Linked DNA regions of Drosophila melanogaster. The protein of the gene in region 2 interacts with the protein of the main gene of each other region in a pairwise test. Each region holds a gene or a part of one and is shown on either strand. Other genes may lie near its edges.

Region 1 (8,362 bases), on a different chromosome or scaffold from region 2:
GTTTGCGGCGCCCTCATGCGCGATCCCGACTGGCTGATCGAGGAAAACCGTCTAGAGAGTCGATCCCAAAGCGTCACCACCTTCTCGAACTCCAGTGTCTGCCTGGAGGAAATAAAAAAGCTGCTGGACACCGGCATCACAAAGGAGGCTGTGCTAGACTCGTTGGTGACCAAGAACAACACGGAGGCCAACCAGCAGATTGACGATCCGTTGGACTCCGCTCTCAAGCGCTACCGCAGCGAGATCTTCCTGCCCACCTTCCTGAGCACTCAGGAGCTTGACAGCATCTGCGAGGTTAAGAGCCTGAGCCGACGCTCCCTACGCCACAAGGAGGGTGAGGAGGCGCCGTCACGAGAGAACCTGCTGTCCATGTCCTCAGGAGCAGGTGCCTATCCCCCATCGACGGCCGTTATAGGCTCGCCAGATGATACCCTAATGGGCGGAATAGCTCACGAGGCGGCAGAGGAAGCAAAGAAGGCCTATCTGGCCTCCATCGAGACGCTGTCTCCATCGGAAAAGCGCTCCACTGGTAGGACTCCCAATGGCTCGCTCCGCTCCTCGGACGAAGGCTACCTTACGCAGAAGCACGCCAGCTCCCGGTACTCGCTTAACGAAAACATCTTCATGGCCAAGCATACAACACCATCAATCTCCAACCTAAAGGTGAATGGCCTGCGACACAATTCGGTGGACATCTTGAGCGAGGACATGCACTGCTACTACTCGAAGGACGAGACCTTCGCATTGCTGGAGCCGAGCAGGCGCATCAGGCCCACCGTCATCGCCATTCCGGAACAGGAGCAGTCGGTGAACAGCGAGCTGGCCACCCGTCGCGCACGCCTGGACAGCATCACGGGAATCCGCCGGCTGTCGCGCTCCAAGAAGCCCAGCCACCACCGATCGAACCTCCGCCGCAACATCTCGATCCGGAACTCCAACTTCCTTAAGGATATGCGCATTCACCGCAACTCGATCCACTACCGCGGGGCCATGCTGAACACGCACCGCTACCGGCTGCGCGCCTCCTCCTGTCCCAACATCTACCGCAACTCGATGACCACCATCGCCAAAGAGGAGGAAGATGTGAGTAGACCGTGACCCTTGGTCCGCCCTTATCAGCCGGTCGCTTGGCGACAGCCCCAGCTGGTTAATGCTCAAAGCTGTTTATCAGCTGCCTCTCTGTTTGGTCGCCTAGTTGGACCACATATACATACTTTTTAGGGCTGATAAGGTGACCGCTCCGATTTCCGTTCTGCCTACGCAAGAAACCGAGCCAGTTATTGGTACCTTGAAAGATGATAATCTCTTGATAGTTTAGTTAACAACTCACAACTATTATTATTTTGTAATGAATGTCTTGACTAAACACACTTACTCGATTTTTGCGATAGTCCTTTAAATCGTTTTAAAAGTACATTTTGTATTAATTAATTTTCAAGTAGAGATAAAAGCAGTGGTAAACAATCAAAATCAAAAATAATCGTATCCTCAGTGTTGCTTAGATTTAATGGAACAATAATAATTAAATATCCTTTCTCTTTCGATAGACCTGGTATGACAACTTTGTGGACACCATGAAGTCCATCTTTGACTTTTCACTCTTTCTGGACATGAAGTTCGCCCTCTTCAATCTCTCTACATTGTTTTTGTTCATTTGGTGAGTACTCTTTGGTGATATTAATAAAAAAAAAAAAAAAACAATTTCATTGGCAAAGGCCCCAAGCTGTGCATGAACTCAAGGCGCAATAAATGCTAAAATTAATAGACAAATGTGCCAAGCCGTCGCGTGAATTTGTTTATTTTGCCAGAAGACGTCGCAAACAATTTTGGCAGCTGTTCGAAAACGAAAAGCGTTGCACAACAATATTGTTGGCCAACAGCGGTGAAATTCCAAGCACAACGTTATCGATCAGCTCAGTTAGTAGGCCCCCTTAGCTGTTCAAGATCATGGTTTATCTTACCCCACGACTGCGGAGTCCGAGTGCCCTAATAGATCGATAAGAAAACTAGTTGAAATCAATGCTAACTCCTCAACATTGACCAGATAAGGCTCCTCTGCTCAATCAGCGGCTAATCTACTTTTTGGCACGCTCCACAGGTTCATTATCCCCTATCTGTACCTTCCCGATTACATGAAGCAATACAAGTACGACGTGAGCCAGAGTGCCGAGTTGATTTCGGATGTCGGCATTGCCCAAACGGTGGGCATGATAGGACTTGGCTATCTGGGGGATCTGTCCTGGATGAACATCAATATATGCTACTCGCTGTGCATGCTGGGTGAGTGCTTGGACTATGTCACATTTTCAATTTATCAATTGAATTTATTATTTATTATATTTTTCAGTGTGCGGAGCGTCTGTGTTCTTCATGCCCCTGCTGATTACCAACTACATGGGCCTGATGGTCATGTGCGTTATTTTCGGATTTACGTTCGCCAGCTCCTTCTCGTTTACGCCCAGCATTCTGGTCAGTATTGTGGATCTGGACGATTTCACGTGTGCCTACGGTCTGGTGCTGCTGGTTCAGGGAGTTGGAATGATCGCAGGACCCCCTATTGCAGGCGTCATATACGAGTATACGGGCAGGTGAGTTGGGCGGCATTCTACAGTCTGTGCACAGGTTATCTGACCACCCGTTGTCCTCTTTCAGATGGGATGACACCTTCTATTATGCTGGAATATTTATCGCACTCTCTGGTGTCTGTTCGTATCTGATCGAGTTCTGTGAAAAGAAAGCACCTAAGGAGAGTGATAGTGATGTCTTAGAGACTAAAAAAGCTCAACTTTTACACTAGGTTACTTACATTGCACTGTTGAACGCCGCAAGTAGAAGGCAACTGGAGGTACTACAAATCCGAACTGTAGCATAATAATGGACTAGCATTAAATGTTAACGAGTTTCTTATGTCAAATGGTGTTGCAGCCATAAAATCAGAGCAGAATTGTAACTGAAACTAAGCCTATTCCTAAGCTCTAGCCTGTAAGACTATACTTGACTTGACTAATCGTAGCTAAGTATCAATATACACCTAACATATACTTACCGCACTAGGGCAATTACTAACCGCATCTTTGTCTAGACAAACTGTTCAATTTCAATCAATATCAATGCAGTGCATCACTGCCAGGTGCAAACGGGTCCCTCAATTGTCTTCTTTACAAAATTTAGAAAAATAGTTTTAATTGCCTTACATTTCGTACGAATATTAATTAAAGGGAATACAATAAACAACAATCTATGTAACGTATGCAATAACAAGTGACCATTTTCAATCAATCTAAAACTCACAATAAAATCTTTGGAGCATTTGTTTGTACATCAAACGTCACGGATCCGAATAGTTTCCAATTAAAAAAAACCAACTGAGCAAATTAGGGTATAAAAAATAGTTAATGTTGAAGCGAAAAACTTGTTTTTGCAGTTTGGCAAACTTTTTCTTAGACAAAACACAGATAAGATTCAGAAAATAAGAAACAAACCTATGTAATATCTTAAAAGTTCAAGTATTATTAAAAAAAAATACAAAAATATTTCTAAATAGTATATTTCAGTAGTAAAAAAATGTTTTAACATGTAAGCACATTTAAAAAAATTAAGTAAATGCGACACTATATCCCTATAGCCGACATAGAAAGTGGAAATTGTTAATTCCGAACACTTTAGGAAATATGTACATAAACAAAAAAGGATTCACCATTTAATAATATTTACAAGACATTAATTCAACAATTATCTACCGAAAGCCTCTTACTAAATAAAAAGGGTTAAAACTACACTAATGCGTAATTATTTGTCTGACCTCTTTTCATTTAAAAGTTGAGTTGTTTACAACTTTAAATGCCTCATTAAATTTGCCTTAGTGTTTTACTTCTCATCTAGACACCAAAAAACTAATTAGTCGTTAACTATCACTTGATTAAACGCTAATGAACCCAAGGTAAGTACCGATTTAATTTATATAATTATATTAATAGTAAGTATGTATATTTATTATTCCGCATTGTGTTGGGCAAATACAAATATTATAAATAATTTGATTTACGTTTACAGTTGTATCTTTCGTTTTGTCTTAGCAATCGCCGTTAATTAAATATATAAACTTCGTAAAATACTAAATTGATCATTGAATCGCAGCATTTCGTGTTACCACTGGTTAATGCATGTTGATTGTGTAAATTATATAACCCCATTTCGGCCCTCACGTTTTGTATATTTTGTTAAAGTACTTTTTTTCTAGTGTATGTATAAAGACTAAGCGGATTGCACAACAAAATAGACAAAGCAAATGCGTTGAGAAGGAAACGTAAACATATTAATATATTTAATTATGTATGTGTGTATAGAGAAGCGGAGCAGATACCCATTGCAAAAGGGGGCGTGGCGCAGCGTTGCGAAGCTGGACCTCACTGAAATCGAATCACAATGAAAATTCACACAGTTTGATTTTTGTTCATATATTACACATCATTTTGTCAAAATCCCAATGTATAACTATCGATTTTACACGAAGTAACTAGCAAACTAACTTCAATATACACAAAATACATGCATAAAACATTTAAAAATGTTTCAATAAACTTTATAAAATTTAGAAATCACGCACGACATTCACGTACACAAATGTGGTTTGTTTTGGTTTATTTCTGGTTACTTCTTCCTTTTGGTTTTTTTTGGTAAAATAAAACGTAGCTGAACAAGGAGATGTGTTTCTTGTAACTGTCTGATCTTAATGGTTTTAACATTTAGCTTAGTGTCCAATTGCTAGATTAGTGGTAGCTATGTTTACGTGGTTAGTTACGGTTGAGATAGAAAACAAGAAATCTGTTCCTTCAACTACCTTCTATTAGTTAGTCACTAAAGTAGCTTTTACAGAAGCGGCTGCGCCTATCCCAGAATTGCAATCGGGCATCTGCGGTTTACTCCTAGCAGCAGCCACTGTTTGCTGCTCCAGCTGCTCCTCCGGCTCCTGGGAGCGACGGGTTTGTGGGGGAGTGCTGTTGGCCGATCTTAATGCCGTTTGCCTAGTAACGAGATAATAATGTAGTGGCAAGAAGTTTCTAAGTTAAATGTATCCTTCTTACCTCATTGTTGATGTCGAAGACACCTTCCTGGATCTTCTCGTAAATCTCTTTGGCCGTATTTATGAACGCCTCCTCTACGTTGGCAGCTGTGCGCGCAGAAGTCTCCATGAAGACCAGTCCGTGCTCGCGGGCGAAGGCCTCGCCCTCCTCTTTCTTCACCTCACGCCGCGAATCCAAATCGCTCTTGTTGCCTATCAGCATAATGACCATGTTCGAGTTCGAGTGCTGACGCGCATCCTCCAGCCAGGTGGTCAGGTGGTTGAAGGTCTCCCGTCGCGTGATGTCGTACACCAGCAAGGCGCCAGCAGCTCCGCGGTAATAAGAGCGTGTGATAGATCTATTCAAGAAATATTTTGCGTCACAATACAGTTATATAAATGACAGTGCTTATATTATTTAATTATTAGTAACCCATTAAATTTCTGTCTGACGACTTCTATTTAATTTTAAGTAAAGTATAAAAAATTTATATCACAAAAAATTAAAAATGATAGAATTAAAACTTTTTTAAATAAACATCTATCAACAATGTGCCGAAATGAAGCAAATAAAATTTTTTGAATACAAATTATTAAGCCTTTTTACTAAAGGCTCTATATATATATATTATTATTATTTTGGATCATTAAGTAAGAATTTTATTCAAATTATTTTATTTAATATAAAAAACGAGCCGAATTATTATCCGCCTTGGACTTGGGGTTTTGGATACGAAATTTGCAAAAATTTATTCAGTTCAATTTTGGAAGTAATCTGAGCTTTCACTTATCCCTTCTTAAGTATTAACACTAAATGAACAGAAGTGGGTACCTGAAAGCCTCCTGCCCAGCCGTGTCCCAGATTTGAAGCTTGATCTGCTTGCCGTCGATGGTGATCATGCGTGCTCCGAACTCCACGCCAATGGTCAGGTCGTGCACCGGCTGGAATCGCTTGTCCGTGAACTGGAGCAGCAGACAGGACTTGCCCACGCCTGCGGAAACGGAAAAGGGTTAGTGGGCGAGCGGGGAAAAGGTGGGACAGGCTGGAAAATGCCAACAGCTGTTGGACATCCCGAAAAGCAGAGTGCTGATAAGCCCGTGGCTCTTTGGGGCGGAATCCCTCAATTACTGGGGGTGGTTGGGTGAGTCAGCAGCAGGGTTTATGTGTGGGCTGCTCCCCGCGCACCACTAACTCTGAGAGCAGCAAACGCCTGTATGCGTTGTTATGGTATTATTGATTTTTCCTTCGGCCCACCGACTCCAGGAATATTTTCCTGCCGACGCAATTTTGATCTCACGGTATCAATTTTTCACTTGAGACCACCTGAAACCCCCATTTTTTGATTTTCGGGTACGACCCCTACGCCTGCGATGCCCTTTGTTTTGTTGTGTTGTTTGCAATTACAGATTGTTTCCCTGACAATGGCCAACTTTTCACTGGCCATTCCGTTTCAAAGGAAGTCGCAGCTTGCACTCACCTGTGTCTCCGATAATGATGTATTTGAACAAGTACGCGTAGGACATGTTTTAAGCTGACGGGGGTTACGGTAAGCTAGTTTTTAGAAAGTACGATCTCGTAATGCCACAGATAATACGCAATTCTTGTACGTTTTCCAATCTGTTCGTATTTATGATGACTGGCTAGCGACAGTGTGGCCACTTTGTGGCCAGGGCTGGCGGAAATACCGAAATACCGCAAGGCTGCAATCGCCCTATCGATAACGATGCGCACTGCCGCTGGCCAATCGATAGGTATATGTATGTATGTAGAATTTGTCAGAAATTTTCTCGCACAAAGCAAAGTGTTTTGGAGGATAAACGCCAATTAATTGTCAAGCGATGTGCCAGCTCCTGTAGAATACACTCAGCATACTACGGTGCAGGGATCCCACATCCGGAGACTCCCGCGGGGCAGGGACCAGGCTAGCATTCAGTTTCTGCCAGTGATTTTCTCATCAAGGCGTAGGCACAGACGTTGTGGATCATCGCGTCTTCGAGCGGGTGAAACATGAAGATGGCTGACGGCTCGACCATATTGCGTAGGAACCGGCCAGGCACAAAATCCAAGGTGAGCGATGACATGGCGTCCGAACAACGATCCCGGCCCGGCCCGTCTGACCCGTTTTCCGTTTCGCCTTTCAGGACTTCTGTCGCTGGCCCGACGAGCCCCTGGAGGAGATGGACAGCACGCTGGCGGTGCAGCAGTACATACAGCAGCTGATTAAGCGCGACCCGAGCAACGTGGAACTCATACTGACCATGCCCGAAGCCCAGGATGAGGGCGTGTGGAAGTACGAGCACCTGCGCCAGTTCTGCATGGAGCTGAACGGCCTGGCAGTGCGGCTGCAGAAGGAGTGCTCGCCGTCGACGTGCACCCAGATGACAGCCACTGACCAGTGGATATTCCTGTGCGCCGCGCACAAGACGCCCAAGGAATGTCCGGCCATTGACTACACACGCCACACGCTGGACGGTGCCGCCTGTCTGCTAAACAGCAACAAGTACTTCCCTAGCAGGTATGCAGGCTTAGCGACATGGTTGAACTAGCCACATAATAAGCAAAGTGTCTCTCCCAGGGTGTCCATCAAGGAGTCGTCGGTAACCAAGCTGGGCTCCGTATGTCGGCGGGTGTATCGCATCTTCTCGCACGCCTACTTTCACCATCGTCGCATTTTCGACGAATTCGAGGCCGAGACGTATCTGTGCCACCGTTTCACGCATTTCGTCACAAAATATAATCTGATGTCGAAGGAGAATCTGATCGTGCCCATCAACGTGGGTGAAAACGCGGCCCCTGGCGAAAGCGAGGCTTAGGAGCCCGCCCAGATTAGTCAGACTCGCATGAAACACTCATTCAACATACATCTATTTATATTTACCAATAGCTTGCAAGTTGGGTTGGCTCACCCTGACAGGGAAACGATTCCACGCGGACCCGACTCTAATGCAGATCTTGTATGTAGTTTAGATGTCAGATACACATAGAGCTACATAACGATAACTAAGTAACAAGGGCAGACCCCCTCAAACCCGCTCGCCCCATCTGATCCTAAGTCAGCAATTATTTCGCAAGTTATATTACGATTATGTTTAACTCCTTATTTTAATAAATTATATGTAGGCACACGACCTTCTCGTGGCTGATTCCACGTCAAATCCCCGTAAACTAAACTAAATTCCCTTGACTACTGGCAGCCAAAACACCAACACAGCTGTACGTGACTAAAACGTGAACTTTACTATACAAAATTACTATATACACAACAGAAATTGCAATAAAAGAAGTACATACATAAACAC
Region 2 (7,376 bases):
TATTTCATGTTATATATTTAAAATTGCCCAACAGAATGAAATGGCTGTGCTACAATTTAAAATGAATCGAATTAACTGCCTGATCGACCAACCAGTGACCACAATTAAACAGCTAAAAGATTCCAAAGGGCCAACCAGAACTGAGAGCATTCCTACTAAGGTGCAACCGGAAAATACAGACGAATTTTCAAGCACTGCCAGAAAGCGTAATGCTCGTCGTCAAAAAATTACCACATATTCCTCCGACTTTGATAGCGGCGATGATATACCAGTGAGTATTTGTTAATTGCACCTATAATCGAAATTAAATTATTGAACTTTTATTACAGATCGTGGGCAACTCTTTAAGCGGCAAACGTGCCAAATTATGTGCGCCCATCAAGCCACAAAATAATATTGATATGTTCGACATGTTGAAGAATTCTAAATAACTAAGCAGTACAACGAACATACAGACAACATTATCAATTCTTACACTTTGTTTTTAGTAAAATGGAAGAATATTGAGCTTAGAAATTCATTCAGATCCATCATCATTTAAACATCTGTACTTCTTTGAAAACTTGTCTGAAACTGGCAAGCTATTTTTAAGAACATGATTACTTTATGTTATTTAATCCCATTTTGTATCTAATTGTTAAATTAAAACTCATATCTTGAAGTATCTTGTTCAAATAGATCCAATCTATTTGATTATAGTTTTTGTAATAAAAACATTACATGTACTTTGTTGAAACACTTTAATTAATAACACACTTTTGTCCTCATTTCTTTAAAGGACACCAAACAGATTTTGAAATCATACCAAAAGTAAAAACTGGTAAAAACAAAACGTAAAATGATCGATACTAAACTATGTTTTGATGATATTTATCAGGCGGTCGACGTCAGCAGCATTCACGACTCCGTCCGCCTTAATTCCAGATTCCTCCATTGCCTTCCTGGTGCCACTGCCCACGGCTATCAGCTTGCGATCCTTAAGCGAAACGTTGTAGTTCCCAAAGAACTCCAAGGAGCTGCGGACACTGGAGGGTCCGAAGAACACAATCGTTTCCATTCGCTTGAATTTGAGGGCGTGCCGCATCTGATTGACGAAATCCGGATGCGACCGACTCTCGTACACTTCGCAGGCATCCACCCGGAATCCCTGGGCGACCAAACGGAGGCGCAGTGTCTGACCCACGCCATTGCCGCAGGGCATGAGCAGTGGCAGATCCCTCTTGGGTCCAAACGTCTCCACGATCAGATCGCACAGATTGTTTGCATTCACGGCATGATCGCCCAGAGTCGGAAGATTCTGGAATGTTATCCAGGCGGCGCTGTGCGTGTTCTTGCCTAGGGAATAATTGTGTAACGCACGCCAGCAACTAGGAAGTGGTGTCTTTCCTAGTGCCTCGTTTACAGCTTGGACACAGCGCGGGGATGCAAATATAATCCCGGCATATTTGTGCGGCTCATGCAACTTGGCTTGCAATTGCTTCAGATTCTTGAACACAAAATGCGAGGGAGTAATGAAGATGGGATCCAGGTTATGGCTGCGCAACGCCGAACCATAGAAATCATCGGAGGACGGAACCTTCAGCAGAATAACCGGCTGCTTGTTGCGATCTCCCATGATTCTAACTAAATTTTGCTGGACTTAACTAGAGAATGGACAATTTGATATTCGTGTTTTGCGTTTGATTTATAGAATAGTTCGAATAGAAAGGGCATAGAATAGATAATGCCTGAAAATTATTGCCGCGCCTATCGAGAGTCGGGTTTTAAAAATAGTTCATCACATTGAAGCCAACTATTATTAGGTGGCTCTAATCCAACCAAACACGAATGCAGGCTACCGAACTTTCAGTTGCACTTTGAAAAAACTTCTCAATAATTTCGGGAATGTTATCACAAGCATTTGCAACGCAATCATTTATAATTTTGTACATTTATATGGAAAAACAAGTGAGTTGAGAACACTAACCAGGCAATAGTAAAAGTAGAAAGTACAACAATTAATCTTAAATCCGTTTACACAGCTCCCATCTGGAGAATGGGTGTAAATAGCTTGTAGGCCTTCTCGATGAACTGCACGGCAGATAGCATTTCGGAAAAGAATGTGCTGACCCGGCCTTTTGATTCCTCCGTTTCTGACTTGCCGCTCAGAACGGCGGCGAAGCGGTGGCTAAGTCCTTGAAGGTGTCCATTGAACTGCTGGCAGAGATTGACGACGCCATCCACTTCGTTGGCGGTGCTGTGATGTGGCTTCACCAGCAACAGCTCGGCGATTTTGTGCAGCTTACACATCTCGAGGGCGCACGCTTCACTCAGCGCGTGGATGCTCTTAGCATAGGCTTGCTCCAGATCGGCGGCAGTTGCTTCCTCTGAGGTCAACCAGCTGAGGGACTGCGTCCAGTGACTGTACAAAAGATTTGGGTTTATGGTATGTTTAAATAATATTAGTTTCCGACAACTTACTTGGCTATGTCGTCAAACTGAATGCCCAGCTCGGCGTCCTTGATTGTGGCCGCCAATCGCTCGCTCAGTTCCTCCGCCTCGTAGTCACCTTCACTCTCCACATCCAGATCCTCCAGTTCGATCAGTTCCTTCACCTCGTTTATCGTTTCCTGCAACTCTGCACGGGCATTGCCACTAACCGCATCGAGTAGGGTGTCCAGTTTGAGGCGTGACTCCTTGGAAAGGATCTCCAGGGCCTCGAAGTGCACCAGGCCGCAGTAATTTTCGAAAAGGATTTCGAAACGCAGCTGCGCCTTCTGTCTTTTCAGCTGTAGCTGTTGCAGGGATTGCTCCATTTGGTCGGCCTCCTTCTTTGCCTCCAGCAACACGGCACTCAAATTAGGCGAGTTGGCCTCCAGACCGAGCAGTTTCCTCTTGTTCATCAGCTTGGGATCGTTGTCCTGCAGGATGGTCATGGTCTTCTTGCCAATGCCCTCGAGTGTATCCAGTCCGGTGTTGAGAACCTTGGAGCCCAGATTGGTGACAAAGTCCAAGCCAAAGGCGGCCGAAGATTCTTTTTCATCGTCGACATTTTCCTCTGGCGGCGCTTTAGCAGCCTTTTCCGCCTTTTCAGCCACATTAATGCGAGCCAGCTCCTCGGGATCGGGCACTCCGATGATTTGATTAAGCCCCTGGTTGACTTGGGTGGTTATCGTGCCCAATCCCTCCGTGGCGGTGGTTAGCACGGAGCTCAGTTTACCGCCCCACAGACCCCAGGACGAGGATGTGGCGGATGCTGTTGCTGGAGCAGAAATTCTGGGAGTTTCCAGCTTTTCCTGATTTTCCGCCGTTCCTTTTGCGTCGTTTCTGCTCGAGACTTTCTCCTGTGGCTGCTGTTCCTTCTCCACGTGAACGAACTTGTCATCGTCATCGCCCCAATCGTCCCAGTTGTCGTCCTCGTCACTTTGGGCCCAGTCGTTACCGCCGTCCTCCTCCTTTTTTGGATTTTTTGCCATTATTTGTTTATTTTTGCTCCACGTAGATTTTTAGGATTTGAGTCAGAGCTGTCAACTCAGTGCAGACTTAACAGCTGTTACACGCCAACCTGCCAACTCGCTGCACTGTCAGAATTGGCGCGCATATTTAAATATTATATAGGAATATAAATATTTTTCAAACTGTGCTTAAGAAATGTTTATTGTTAGGTATAAATGCTAGCTACTCTATTTGCCTTTGATTGATTTGAATTAAATGAATGATTGTATGAATTAAATTAATGACACTTATATAATAATTATAACTAATTATAGTTCGTAATATTTGAATATCTAAAAGAAGAATTTAAGTATGGCTGTGGGACTTAAAAGTAGCTAGGACAGTCTAGGTATCTCGGACGTCGGAGGAGTTAAGAAATCGGGAACACTAAGTATACAACTTTAGTTAATACTAAATTTCATCAAACCGTGTGCTATTTTTCTTTAGCAGAATCGCACGAGTTCTGCTTTATGTCAAAGTGCTTTTGGTGAACTTTCTGGCTTGCCGACATTGTCCCAATTCTAACTGGGCTCATAAATTAGAAAATCACACAAGCACGCATACAAATGCTCATTCTTCAGGCCAGAAACCGAAAAGTTTTGCTAGCTAAGCTAACCAGCATATAAATTTGACAGCAACGCTGCAGCAGCGCAAAATTAACAAGCCAACACCATTTTCGCACACACACACACACGCACACCCACCTTTTCCATAAAGAAGGAATTTTCATAAACTTGCAGCACAATTTCAGGCAGCCGCTGCCACAGACTTTTACCGAATGAAGCAACCACACGAATATTTCGTCAAGCCGGCAAATTTATCTTACGCAGAAACGGCAAGAAAGCTGCTTGAGCTCCATATCCTCCATCTCCATCTCTTCGGTGATATGAGTAATTTTTTAATTAAAATCCCTAAAAAAGGTAGCTTTGCCATACCCAAAAGCCAAAACCGCTAAAATGTTAGTTAAGAACTAAAACACCTCCGTTTGCCTCAGTCTCTTACGGCCAACTTGCCTTAAAGTCGCCCATTTAAGCAACCTTCCTTTCTTTGGGGCCAGTAGTAATTGCATGTTCTGTGTCTTGTCTGGCCAAAAATTAAATGTAAATTTGCCAGCAGATCGGTTTACATGTGCGGCAGTCGAGACAAATGTGTATTGTCAGTTTCTGGTTAAGCTGAAGGGGGTAATGGGATATTTTGGACCAGGGTCATAAGTTAAAGTACTACTCAGAGTGCACTTTCCATATCAATAAGCATATTTTTTAATTTGTCGACAATGAACGCTTTCAGATGTATTAATTAGTGTTTTTAAACAACTATATTCCTCTATGTCACACACCACAAGAAGCCTTAGACATTGCCCTTTGATCTTGCCCTTGCCAACATCCTTTTGGTTAAAACATTTAGCCTAGCTGAAGTACCAAAAAAGTATCTTTGAAAACCCATGGTGCAAACCAAAATACACCCACACAATGTATTGGCAACACAGAATTAGACTAGAAAATTGGTTTAAACTATCGGGCAAACAAGAGGAAAGTGGGCCAGGTTGACTGGAGCATCCGCAGTTGACAATATTGATGAAGCTGCCTGGCTAAAACGCACACTCACATCATCCTTGGCTGCCATCTTTGCCATGGCACTAATATCACGGAGAGGAGCTACTATGTTGTGCACCCATCCACTTTTTGCCAGGACAACAATGTTATTGATACCTCCGCCCAAAAACCCCGGACAAACAAGAGAACCCTTTTGGGCAAGTTCCCTCGAGCATATTGTCTCAGTGTCTGCTCCTCGGTGTCTCTTCAAATTTATGCCCATCGACTTGATGTCTCTTTGTGAAGAGATTGCCGATGACAATAAACCAAACTTCCAGATGTTTATTAACATGTTTCTCTGTCAATATATCTGCATACATACATACATATATATTGGCCCATCTGTAAATATACGCACAAGTCTGTATATGTATGTTTGTATATCCAATGCCAAATTGACGATGCTGATGAGGCGGCTGAAGGGACGGGATGGTGATGGAATCCGGACCCGGAACACATATCTCTCTGGTGGCCTACGACGAGTATCGGTTTACAAGTGGAAAAATTCCTTTAGGCCAAAGTGTGCATTAAGAAGATTGTTTTACTATTGTTGTAAGACACCCAAAACGTACACATTTATCTATACTTATAAATACCAACACAGCCACGCAGTTACTTTAACTACATGAAAACTGAATGCACTGAGAGAAATAAAGGCATTGAAGGAGGATATTTCCGAGACTATTATTTTCTTTCTAAAAACTAAAGTTCATTAAATTTTTACTTTAAATCTTTATTCAAATCACTGAAACCAGCAAGAATCTTATTTTTTTGCAGTGTACTTTCACGAAACTTGCCCACAGGCGAATGCTTCTTGTTCTGCTCGTCCTTCGACCAGCTTCCTGTCAGTTTTCCCATCTTCTCTCTTCGCCCTCTAGAACAGCTTCCTTGCCGTTGTTATTCCACTCAACAAAAGGATTCAAATTTCATTAAATCTCATACAAAAGTATCAAAATGCCATTGTTGTCATGGCACTCACACCCACACCCACACCCACACACACTCAGGCACACTTCGAAGACTGCATTTGCCAGGACCTTCACGCACACACAACGAAGGCGATGAGGAGTGGAAGGCTTGACGTCTTTAGCTTTCACTTTGGGCCTTTCATTCGATTTACGTTTGAAGTTACCCCATATGATGTGCCCATGTGGCAGGGACGATGGGGAAGGGACTGTTTGCACTGTTTGCCGAGTGGGCGTGTCCTGATCGCTATCAGTTGTAATGGAAAACTTAATAGACAGTCGTCGAATATAAACTGCCGAAGGACTTTTCAGGACCCGACACTCGGCAGCAAAACGTTAATCGCAGCAATTGCACTCGCAATTGATTGCCATCCCTTGTTTAGATAATCCCCACAAAATCAGACACTATTGCCAATACGGCGATGTATGATCTGCTTAAATTGGTTTGGTGGGAAATCACACCTGCCGAAAGGTATTAATATATGTATTTACTGGGTGCACTAAGCTTCTTACTTTCAGTCGACTCGTTCTCAGTTTGTGGAAATAGTGTGAACATAGTCGATTAAGTTAATTATAAACGGCAGGGCAATTCAAAGGTCGCAATTAAGTTGCTCAAGTCTTTTGGAAAATCTAATGACTAGTTCCTTCTAACAGTATTAAGTTGTTATACAACAAGATATATAAGAACTATATTAGAATATATTGTGGTTATATCTAATCAGTCTCTTAAGCAATATGCGTCCCCTTTTCAGAGCCAAAAATCCAATATGCCTCCTTATCGTTAGAACTTTTTTGCTTAAAGGAAATCTTTTCGAATTGCTTTCGCATTAAAAAACACTAAAATGCGTTTCCGCATCGCTGCAACCAGCTCGTTATGTCGCACACTGTACGTACCACATGTACATATATATGTATATATACACTTTGTGTTTGGCTCACTTTAAGTGTCATTAAGTTTTCGGTGATCGCCCATGTCCTTGATATTCGGTTTCTTTCGGTTTTCGTCAACTCACCAAGATTTGGCATTACAAAAGTTCAACTGACCTCCTCTTACGCCCCCTTCCGTGACAGCTTGTGTGGGCGTGGCCGTTTGGATTAAACATTTATATGTGTTCATATGTCGAGTTAAGACAGGAAGAAGCCACAGGATGATAGTCGAAACTTGGCCACAATAAAATTGCTGTAAACAATGTGGGCGAACCGAACATATTTTCATAAGCTCTCGTCCTTCGACCTCGAGCAAAACCGCAAATCGTTGGGCAGTTTTGCTGAAGCTAAGACCAGATAACTGACCACTGAAATATTACACATACGCCATGTGAGCCCTATCAGACAGAGGCAATTT
Region 3 (7,542 bases), on a different chromosome or scaffold from region 2:
CGTGGGAGCAGCTGCCCGGAGGCAGGTGCCTTTGGCCATGTTGTAGACGGGACTGTTGGCGTTGCGGGTGTGCCGCCACTGCTGATCGCCGAGCATCTCGTGGCACTTGTTGACCGTGACCTGCGCATCCCCGGATGCCTCCAGGCACAGCAACTTGTCCAGCACAATTTCCGCCTTCTCCGTTTCGTACCACAGTTGATTGGGTGTCCTTCGGCAGGTTTGCAATTGCAGGGAGCTGCCCTTCTTCCAGAAACCCTTCACCTTGGGAGCCACCACGGCGGCACAGAGCTCCGTTCCCGTCAGTCGCAGCTGGAATGTGTCGACATAGTTACGTTTTCGCGAGTGCCAAGGCTGAAAGATGGGCGCTGCCGCCGACTTCTTGGACTCCTCGCCCGGCACATGCAGCTCTGGATAGACATTCTTTAGATACCAGGCAAAGTCCCTGCACTGCAGACGCTCCCTAAGCTTGAGGCGATCGCTAATGTCTCCATAATCATAGGTCTTGGGCACCTTTTCGTGCTTGAGATAGTAATCCTTGTACTGATCCATCCAGACGTGCGCCAAACGCAGTGAGTTCTTCAACATGGTGTTGGCTCCATCTGGCGAAGTGTACGGACGTCGTTTGCGGAATATGTGACCGACACGGGAGCAGGGAACGATCTTAATGGCGCCACCGCATTGCCAGGCTCTGAAGGAGATCTCTATATTCTCGCCACCCCATATATCCATGGCCATGTCGTACTCGCCCAGATGCTGGAAGTACTTCCTGTTCACGGCAAACAATCCGCCGGCCATGGTGGGCGAACGGAAGGGTCCGCGAAAATCCTCCGGCACCTTGAGCGTGCCCTCGGGCAGATTCTCCCAGCGGAAGTGCAGGCCCCAGTTGAATCCTCCGCGCACCAGTGGACTGGGCGTGTACTCAAAGGTATCAGCGTTGATCAGGTCGATGACGGGCACGGCCAGAGTGGCGTTCTCCGACTTGATGAGGCGCAGCAGCGGCTCCAGCCACTGCTGATTGACCTCGATATGCGAGTCGAGGAAGACGAGCACATCGCCCACGGCCTCGCGTGCACCAATGACCCGGGAACGAATGAGACCCTCGCGCTGCTCGTTTTTGATGTACCGCAGGTTGTCGTACTTCAGGCGGGCACGCAGATCCCCGTGCAAATGGAATTCCAATTCTGGAAGATCGCTGTGATCATCCACCAGAATAATCTCGCGCAGCAGGTAGCTGGGCGTGCGTTCCAGCACGGTCTTAATCGAGCGCATCAGCGTCATCTTGTGCTCGTTGTAGAAGCACATGACTATGGAGGCCTGGGGCAGATTTTCCGCTTCCGTGGTCTCCTGGCGATCGCACACCTTGTGCCGAGTGTCTGGGATCGCCCGGAAGAGTCCTATGTTATTGGACACCAGCGCGTTGAAGGCGTGATGCTTGTAGCCAATGTCGCGTATGTACTTGTCCTGCTTGTTGCGCACCACACCCAACAGTTCCAATTGCTCCGGATCACTGGGCGGCTTGGGTGCCGCCGGCGATTCGCCAGTGGTAATGCTGGCATTTGGAGTGCATCCGACGGTGACCCTGGCCTGGTAGCTCAGCTCGGCCCGTGGCGTTGCGTTCCCTTCGTCGATCCTCCATCCTGCCGAGCGGATGGAGCTGCGCAGGCTGTGCGAGTAGAAAAGCAGCGCCAGCAGCCAGACGACCGCCACCAGAAGGGTGCCCAGGCCGCAGGATTTGCACAGGAGGCGCTTGATTTGCATCATGGATCGAGATTAGATTACGTTGTGCGCTTCCCTGGCTACTTAAGCAGCTACTTTGTCACTTTCATGATGATCGGAATAAATTAAATTTAATTTGCATACCATGGCATTCGCACAAAAGCGCGCACACAGCGATGCCACCGAAGATGCTAGCTCAGAGTTTTTCCCGCTAAATTTCAAGGAAATCGAAAATAGTGTAGAATAGTGTAGTGTAGAAAACAAAAATTGGACTGATAACCAGTTAAAATGATTAATTAGACAACCAGCAACAAACAAAAGAACAGTATACGAAAAATCGTTGTTTGACTTACAAACTTTATTGTTCATAGTCATAATCAGCTGATTTCCAACCCAACGTTAGCATCACTAAATAAAACAAGAATGAAGTTATGCGCAAGTCAAAGTTGAGGGTATTCCACTAAATGGATTAAAAAAGCTTTTTACAAAATATTTAAGTAAATCGTAAGTACCCAAATATTTATAAAATTTAAATCTATTAAATGGAAATCCGGTAAATTATAAAATTATCCAGCGATTTGGTGTAGAATTAAATATAAACGAATGGTTAAATATGCAAATTAAAATTTAAATTATTTGAAAGAGAAATTCATTTCTATTGGTAGGGGTTTTATAAATACCATTTTATTTATTTCCTATTGCATTATGCCATTAATACATCGTAAATATTCATATAACATTGATCGTTTCCTCCAATTCTTGCACGCGACAACAACAAATACTCAACAAAAAATTAGGGAGATACAAAAATTCATACATATATATATTATATACAGGGATTCATCAGCCAACAAAAACATGATCTATATCTCAAACGAATTCATCTATAAATTGAGACCGAAGGATGGTGTTAGTGCGATAAACTTTTCGAAATTTCATGGTCAAAACTTTAGTTTGCGCCAACAAACATGTTTAATTTTCTAGTATTTATGCTTAACCGATACAATAAATGTTGCAATGCTTGCGTCTTATTAAGCGAAAGGACTTTATATTTTCTTTTTCTGTTTTTTTTTTTTTTTGTGGTTGCTGTCGCTGTTGTTGGCTCACACATTGATGCTTAATCGAATTATTTAACTACATACATTGGTTTTTGCTTGGGCATCGGTAGATTACGAGTCGGCTAAAAATAAAAGTTGATTTGTATAACTAGGTTTTGCGTAAAGTTAGGTTCCATCATTCATTTAGCACGAGCACTGATCCTTGGCGCCCGTAGCCTCGCTACTCAGCGAAGTTCGCGACGGCTGCGATGGCCTGTGCTGAACTCCGGACTCGGAGGCGTTCAGATCGAGCCGACCCTCCTGGATGTTCTGGTAAATCTTGCGTGCGGTCTCCAGAAAAGCCTCCTCCACATTCTGGCCACTGTTTGGGCGATAAAAAAAAAGATAATCAGTATATGCTCAAACACTATGCTTCCAGTTGAAACTCACGTCATAGCGCTCGCTTCGAGAAACATTAGGCCGTTCTCGTCGGCAAACTCCTTGGCCTCCTCGTAGGTAACCTCCCGAGTGCTCTCCAGATCCGATTTGTTGCCAATGAGAAAGATCACAGTGCTGGGATTGGTGAGATTGCGAGTGTCGGTAAGCCAGCTGCTCAGGTGATTGTACGTGGAGCTGGAATGGTCAAGTTGTAAAGCAATTTCTCAAATAGTAGCTTGCTTCGCTTACCGCCTGGTAATATCGTAGACCATCAGCGCACCAGCTGCTCCACGGTAATAGGAGCGTGTCACTGCCCTGAATCGCTCCTGACCCGCTGTGTCCCAGATCTGTAGCTTGATCTTTTTGTCGTCCACCTCAATGATGCGTGTGCCGAACTCCACGCCAATGGTGTGAGGACAATTGGCCATGACTGCAGGACGGCAAGTAGAGATTAGTTCTTATTACATACATTATTACTCAGCACAGTCTACTCACATTTCTTCTCGGTGAACTGGTGGAGCAGGCAGGACTTGCCCACGCCCATGTCACCAATGATGATGTATTTAAAGATATAGTTGTAGTTGTATGGCGCTGCAGTCATGTTGGGACCTAAAAAGCAAGCGAAATTATTATTATTATTACATTGCAGAGTCATTGAGTATATAGAATATTTCACACATTTTTCAATAAAGTAGTCTATGCGTTCGTGCAGTTTGTTCACCACGCTGCGCACTTTGCTCATCTTGACACCGGCAGAAATGAACTCTGACCCAATCAAACAGTGTTAACTACTACTATCAGCTCCTCATTTGAATGTCCAACCGTAGTCGCTGCTTATCAACAAACCGAGGCGCTGCATTAATTTGTTCTGCGTCGACACCACATTTTGTTCCCCTTTCTCGAACTGGCCCCGATATTTCTTTTTAAGGCCTGCTTGTGTTTGAACAGCCGACCGGGTTTGTTTGCCTGCCAACTGAAGCCAAAAAAAAAAAAAAATAAGAAAGAGGCAAGCTTCAAGAGCGGCGGGTATATCCACTTCATGCCACTTGACTTTGTCCATTCGCAGTATCCGTGTCGTTCGAAAGCCTTTGATTTGTCCGCAGTTAAGGGGCGCTGAAGAGAGTGAATTGAACCCTTCGCCCAAGCTGAAAGCGATTTGGATCAAGGTCGCCGAGCAAGCAATCGTGGGAATTCAATTATTAAGAGCAGTACGCGCGAAGTTATTCATCAAGTTAGTTTGTATTTAGGGTAATCATCCTGCCTTACTTCATATGAATGAATTTCATACAAAAGAATGTGACTTAGCAGCATATAGTGTGAAAAGATGAGTATCAATTATGGATTCTTAATTGCTCATACTTAAATCATCAAATACAGTTATAATCGCTTATCATTGCTTGTCAAAGTGACAAGTGCATATCAGTTTAATAGGCTCTATGACGGGCAGTTTAGACTAACTAAGTAGTAGGTCTCGGTCTCGAGTCTTATCAGTCAAGCGCCAAAGGCCAAACATCAGTGGAGCAATCAATGGAGGCGAAGTACATATGTACTTATTTGCAAAATGTGTTGAATGGAAGTGGATCATCATTGCCCCTCATAAAAGGAACACAGCGGCGCACCCATAACAGGGAAAATAACGAAAGGAGTATGAGAAATATATATTTATACACAGACGAAGTATGTATACCCTTTGGCAAAAAATCTTAAATATAAATATACTTTTATAAATGTGCGCTTTATATTCCATTTCTAAGATATAACTGAATACGATTTGATATTTGAGTATCTACAAATAAGCGCACATCCATTCAAACTAATAAAATAAGCCCGCATTGAAGACAACAACGCAATAAGACACAACAAAATGAAAAAGAAATATATTAATAACTGATAACAACTACTAAGAAAACTTCTGATTTATTATAATTTTTTATTCATGCTCGCCTACATTTTGAAAAAACCTTGTTTGCATAATTCATATAATAAATTAATATATAAGCACAGGTAAATATTTCTATGATAACTCATACACTCATATAATAATCCATCTTATAAAAACTAATTTAGAGTATTTATTTATAGCGTATACTAAACAAACTCCTCACCTACCGATTTTTAAGTAGAGTGGCGGCCGTTTTTGCCCCACCATCCCCTAAAAATTCAAAAAATAAATTATACACCATAAAAACCTGAAACATCCCCAGAATTAATCGATTTTTGTAAATCATATTTATTTTCTTAACTTGGTCACAAAACAGTAACTCCCCATTGCAGGGTATCAAAGCAATCAGGGGGTGTATACAACAACAATGGAGTGCTGCTGCCTAACGACAAAAACAAGAGAGAGCGAGAGCACAAGGGAAAGTTGCGGAGCACCCACAGCTGCACTGCGTCACCCCTTCGCAGACGGTTTTCCATTTCGCATAATTTAATCAGTGTTTAATTGGCTTAAGGAAAAACAACGAATATTACTCACCGTTTTAGATCACTTTAGTTTTAGTCCACCTTAGGGAGCGAACGGAATGTGTAACGTAGGGCGGTTACGCAGAGCGGGGGGTACTGTGTGTATGTGTGCGTATTGTTGTTTGGCTGTGCGGAATTCGATTGCAATTTTTGGGCAATTTGGCGATGCAAAATGCAGTTCACTTTCGTGCTAGCACGCACACTGGCTTCGCGGGGTTGCGGGGCTGCACCGAGAGGCAATTATTGCGATTATTTTCAATTGGTAGGTCGATGCAAATCAGTAGTCTTTTTTCACTGCTTTTGCGTTCTCTTGTTTTGCTTGGTTTCCTGCGGTCACACTGAGCAATTGGCAAGCCAAGGGTCACACTGCCGCGATAGGTGCTTATCGCAGCCAGATGCTATCGACAATCGTGTCTATCGATAGAGGGCGCACGTGTTGCGGACTTCGTTTGTTTATGTTTTAATTTTGAGCAAAAATCGTCCCTCAAGATGTTCGTAAACGAAGTTAACGATGTGAAGATCTACAACCTGAGCGCCGGCAAGTCGGTGCCAGATGTGAGTAGCAAGATAAACCCGTTGCCAAGCAGTTAACTCATGAGTATCTCCTTCACAGTGGCTGACGGATCGGCGAAAGCGGTCACAGCTCATGAAAAAAGTGGACTCCCGGAGACAGATCGAGCTCATCCAGGACTTCGATATGCCCGGCGTCTGCACCAGCATCCGCATGAGTCCCGACCAACAGTACATCCTGGCCACCGGCACTTACAAGCCGCGCGTCAAGTGCTTCGAGGTGTCCAACCTGTCTATCAAATTCGAGCGCTGCTTCGACGCCGAGGTGACCACCTTTGAGGTGATTAGCGACGACTACAGCAAGATGGTGTTCCTGCAATGCGATCGCTATGTGGAGATCCATGCGGCCCACGGGCGGCACTACAGACTAAGGATACCGCGCTTTGGACGCGACATGAAGTACCACAAGCCCAGCTGCGACATGTTCATCGTGGGAGTGGGCAGGGTAAGAACTGAGGTCTATCTAATGTCTAGTTTATTCTAAAGATTTGATTTCAGGACATTTTCCGACTCAATTTGGAGCGCGGTCAGTTCCTGCAACCCTTTGAAACGGATGGCAGCTGCCTGAACGCCTGTGAAGTGAATCCAGAGCACCATCTTCTGGTAGCCGGTACCAAAGAAGGCACCGTAGAAGCCTGGGATCCACGTACCAAGCAACGATGTTCAACTTTGGATGTAGCCATGAAGTTGCCGGGCGTCAAGGAGTTTCCATCGGTCACGGCCCTCAAATTCCGGAACGGCTTGCACATGGGAGTGGGAACTGCTTCGGGACACGTGCTGATCTACGACATTCGCGCCAAGCAACCGTTGCTGGTGAAGAATCATCTGAATCGACTGCCCATCAAGCGTCTGGCCTTTAATCCGGCTCAGAATGCCGTCTATAGTTTGGACGAGGCTACACTGAAGCTGTGGGACGAGCAGACAGGCAAGCAGATCGCCTACGTTGAGTCGACTTCGTCATTCAACGATTTTTGCACCATTCCCGACACGGGCATGTTCTTCGTAGCCCAGGAGGATGTTAAGATGATGACCTATTATGTGCCTGCAATGGGTCCAGCACCCCGATGGTGCTCGTTCTTGGATAACCTCACCGAGGAGATCGAATCGGAGGTCGTGGAGAATGTGTACGATGACTATCAGTTCGTCACAGCGAAGGAGCTGGCTGAATTGGGAATGGAGCATCTCGTTGGCAGCAATCTTCTTAAGGGTTATATGCACGGGTAAGTTTGAAAAAGATTGGAAGAGGTAAAGATCTTGTCTAATACCTAAAAATTCTACAGATACTTTATGGACGCAAGATTGTACAACAAAGCCAAGG

What was found.
Region 1: the proteins of CG9590 (region 2) and Rab2 interact in a two-hybrid assay, tested with the Drosophila melanogaster proteins (one study listed by BioGRID).
Region 3: the proteins of CG9590 (region 2) and Rab14 interact in a two-hybrid assay, tested with the Drosophila melanogaster proteins (one study listed by BioGRID).

Annotation. Positions count from the first base shown.
Region 1 is NT_033778.4:6,695,108-6,703,469, reverse strand, and holds Rab2 (Rab2), read right to left. Parts: upstream 6,732-8,362; 5' UTR 6,587-6,731; coding exon 6,541-6,586; intron 6,055-6,540; coding exon 5,895-6,054; intron 5,422-5,894; coding exon 5,085-5,421; intron 5,025-5,084; coding exon 4,926-5,024; 3' UTR 4,001-4,925; downstream 1-4,000. Other genes in the region: chk (chaski), read left to right, coding at 1-1,083, 1,548-1,657, 2,099-2,280, 2,348-2,588, 2,653-2,797; Mob4 (MOB kinase activator 4), read left to right, coding at 7,071-7,130, 7,205-7,578, 7,627-7,876. UniProt on the Drosophila melanogaster protein: May be involved in bidirectional endoplasmic reticulum (ER) to Golgi trafficking. Together with Rab7 involved in promoting fusion of autophagosomes and endosomes with lysosomes, probably through recruitment of the HOPS tethering complex.
Region 2 is NT_033777.3:15,782,843-15,790,218, reverse strand, and holds CG9590 (uncharacterized protein), read right to left. Parts: upstream 3,517-7,376; 5' UTR 3,456-3,516; coding exon 2,461-3,455; intron 2,402-2,460; coding exon 2,014-2,401; 3' UTR 1,880-2,013; downstream 1-1,879. Other genes in the region: c(3)G (crossover suppressor on 3 of gowen), read left to right, coding at 35-271, 330-431; Uros2 (uroporphyrinogen III synthase 2), read right to left, coding at 854-1,615.
Region 3 is NT_033779.5:14,353,599-14,361,140, reverse strand, and holds Rab14 (Rab14), read right to left. Parts: upstream 4,101-7,542; 5' UTR 3,934-4,100; coding exon 3,870-3,933; intron 3,861-3,869; exon of another isoform or gene 3,801-3,860; coding exon 3,687-3,800; intron 3,622-3,686; coding exon 3,441-3,621; intron 3,387-3,440; coding exon 3,204-3,386; intron 3,136-3,203; coding exon 2,958-3,135; 3' UTR 2,377-2,957; downstream 1-2,376. Other genes in the region: Pgant35A (polypeptide N-acetylgalactosaminyltransferase 35A), read right to left, coding at 1-1,761; l(2)34Fd (lethal (2) 34Fd), read left to right, coding at 6,144-6,209, 6,268-6,669, 6,723-7,444, 7,505-7,542.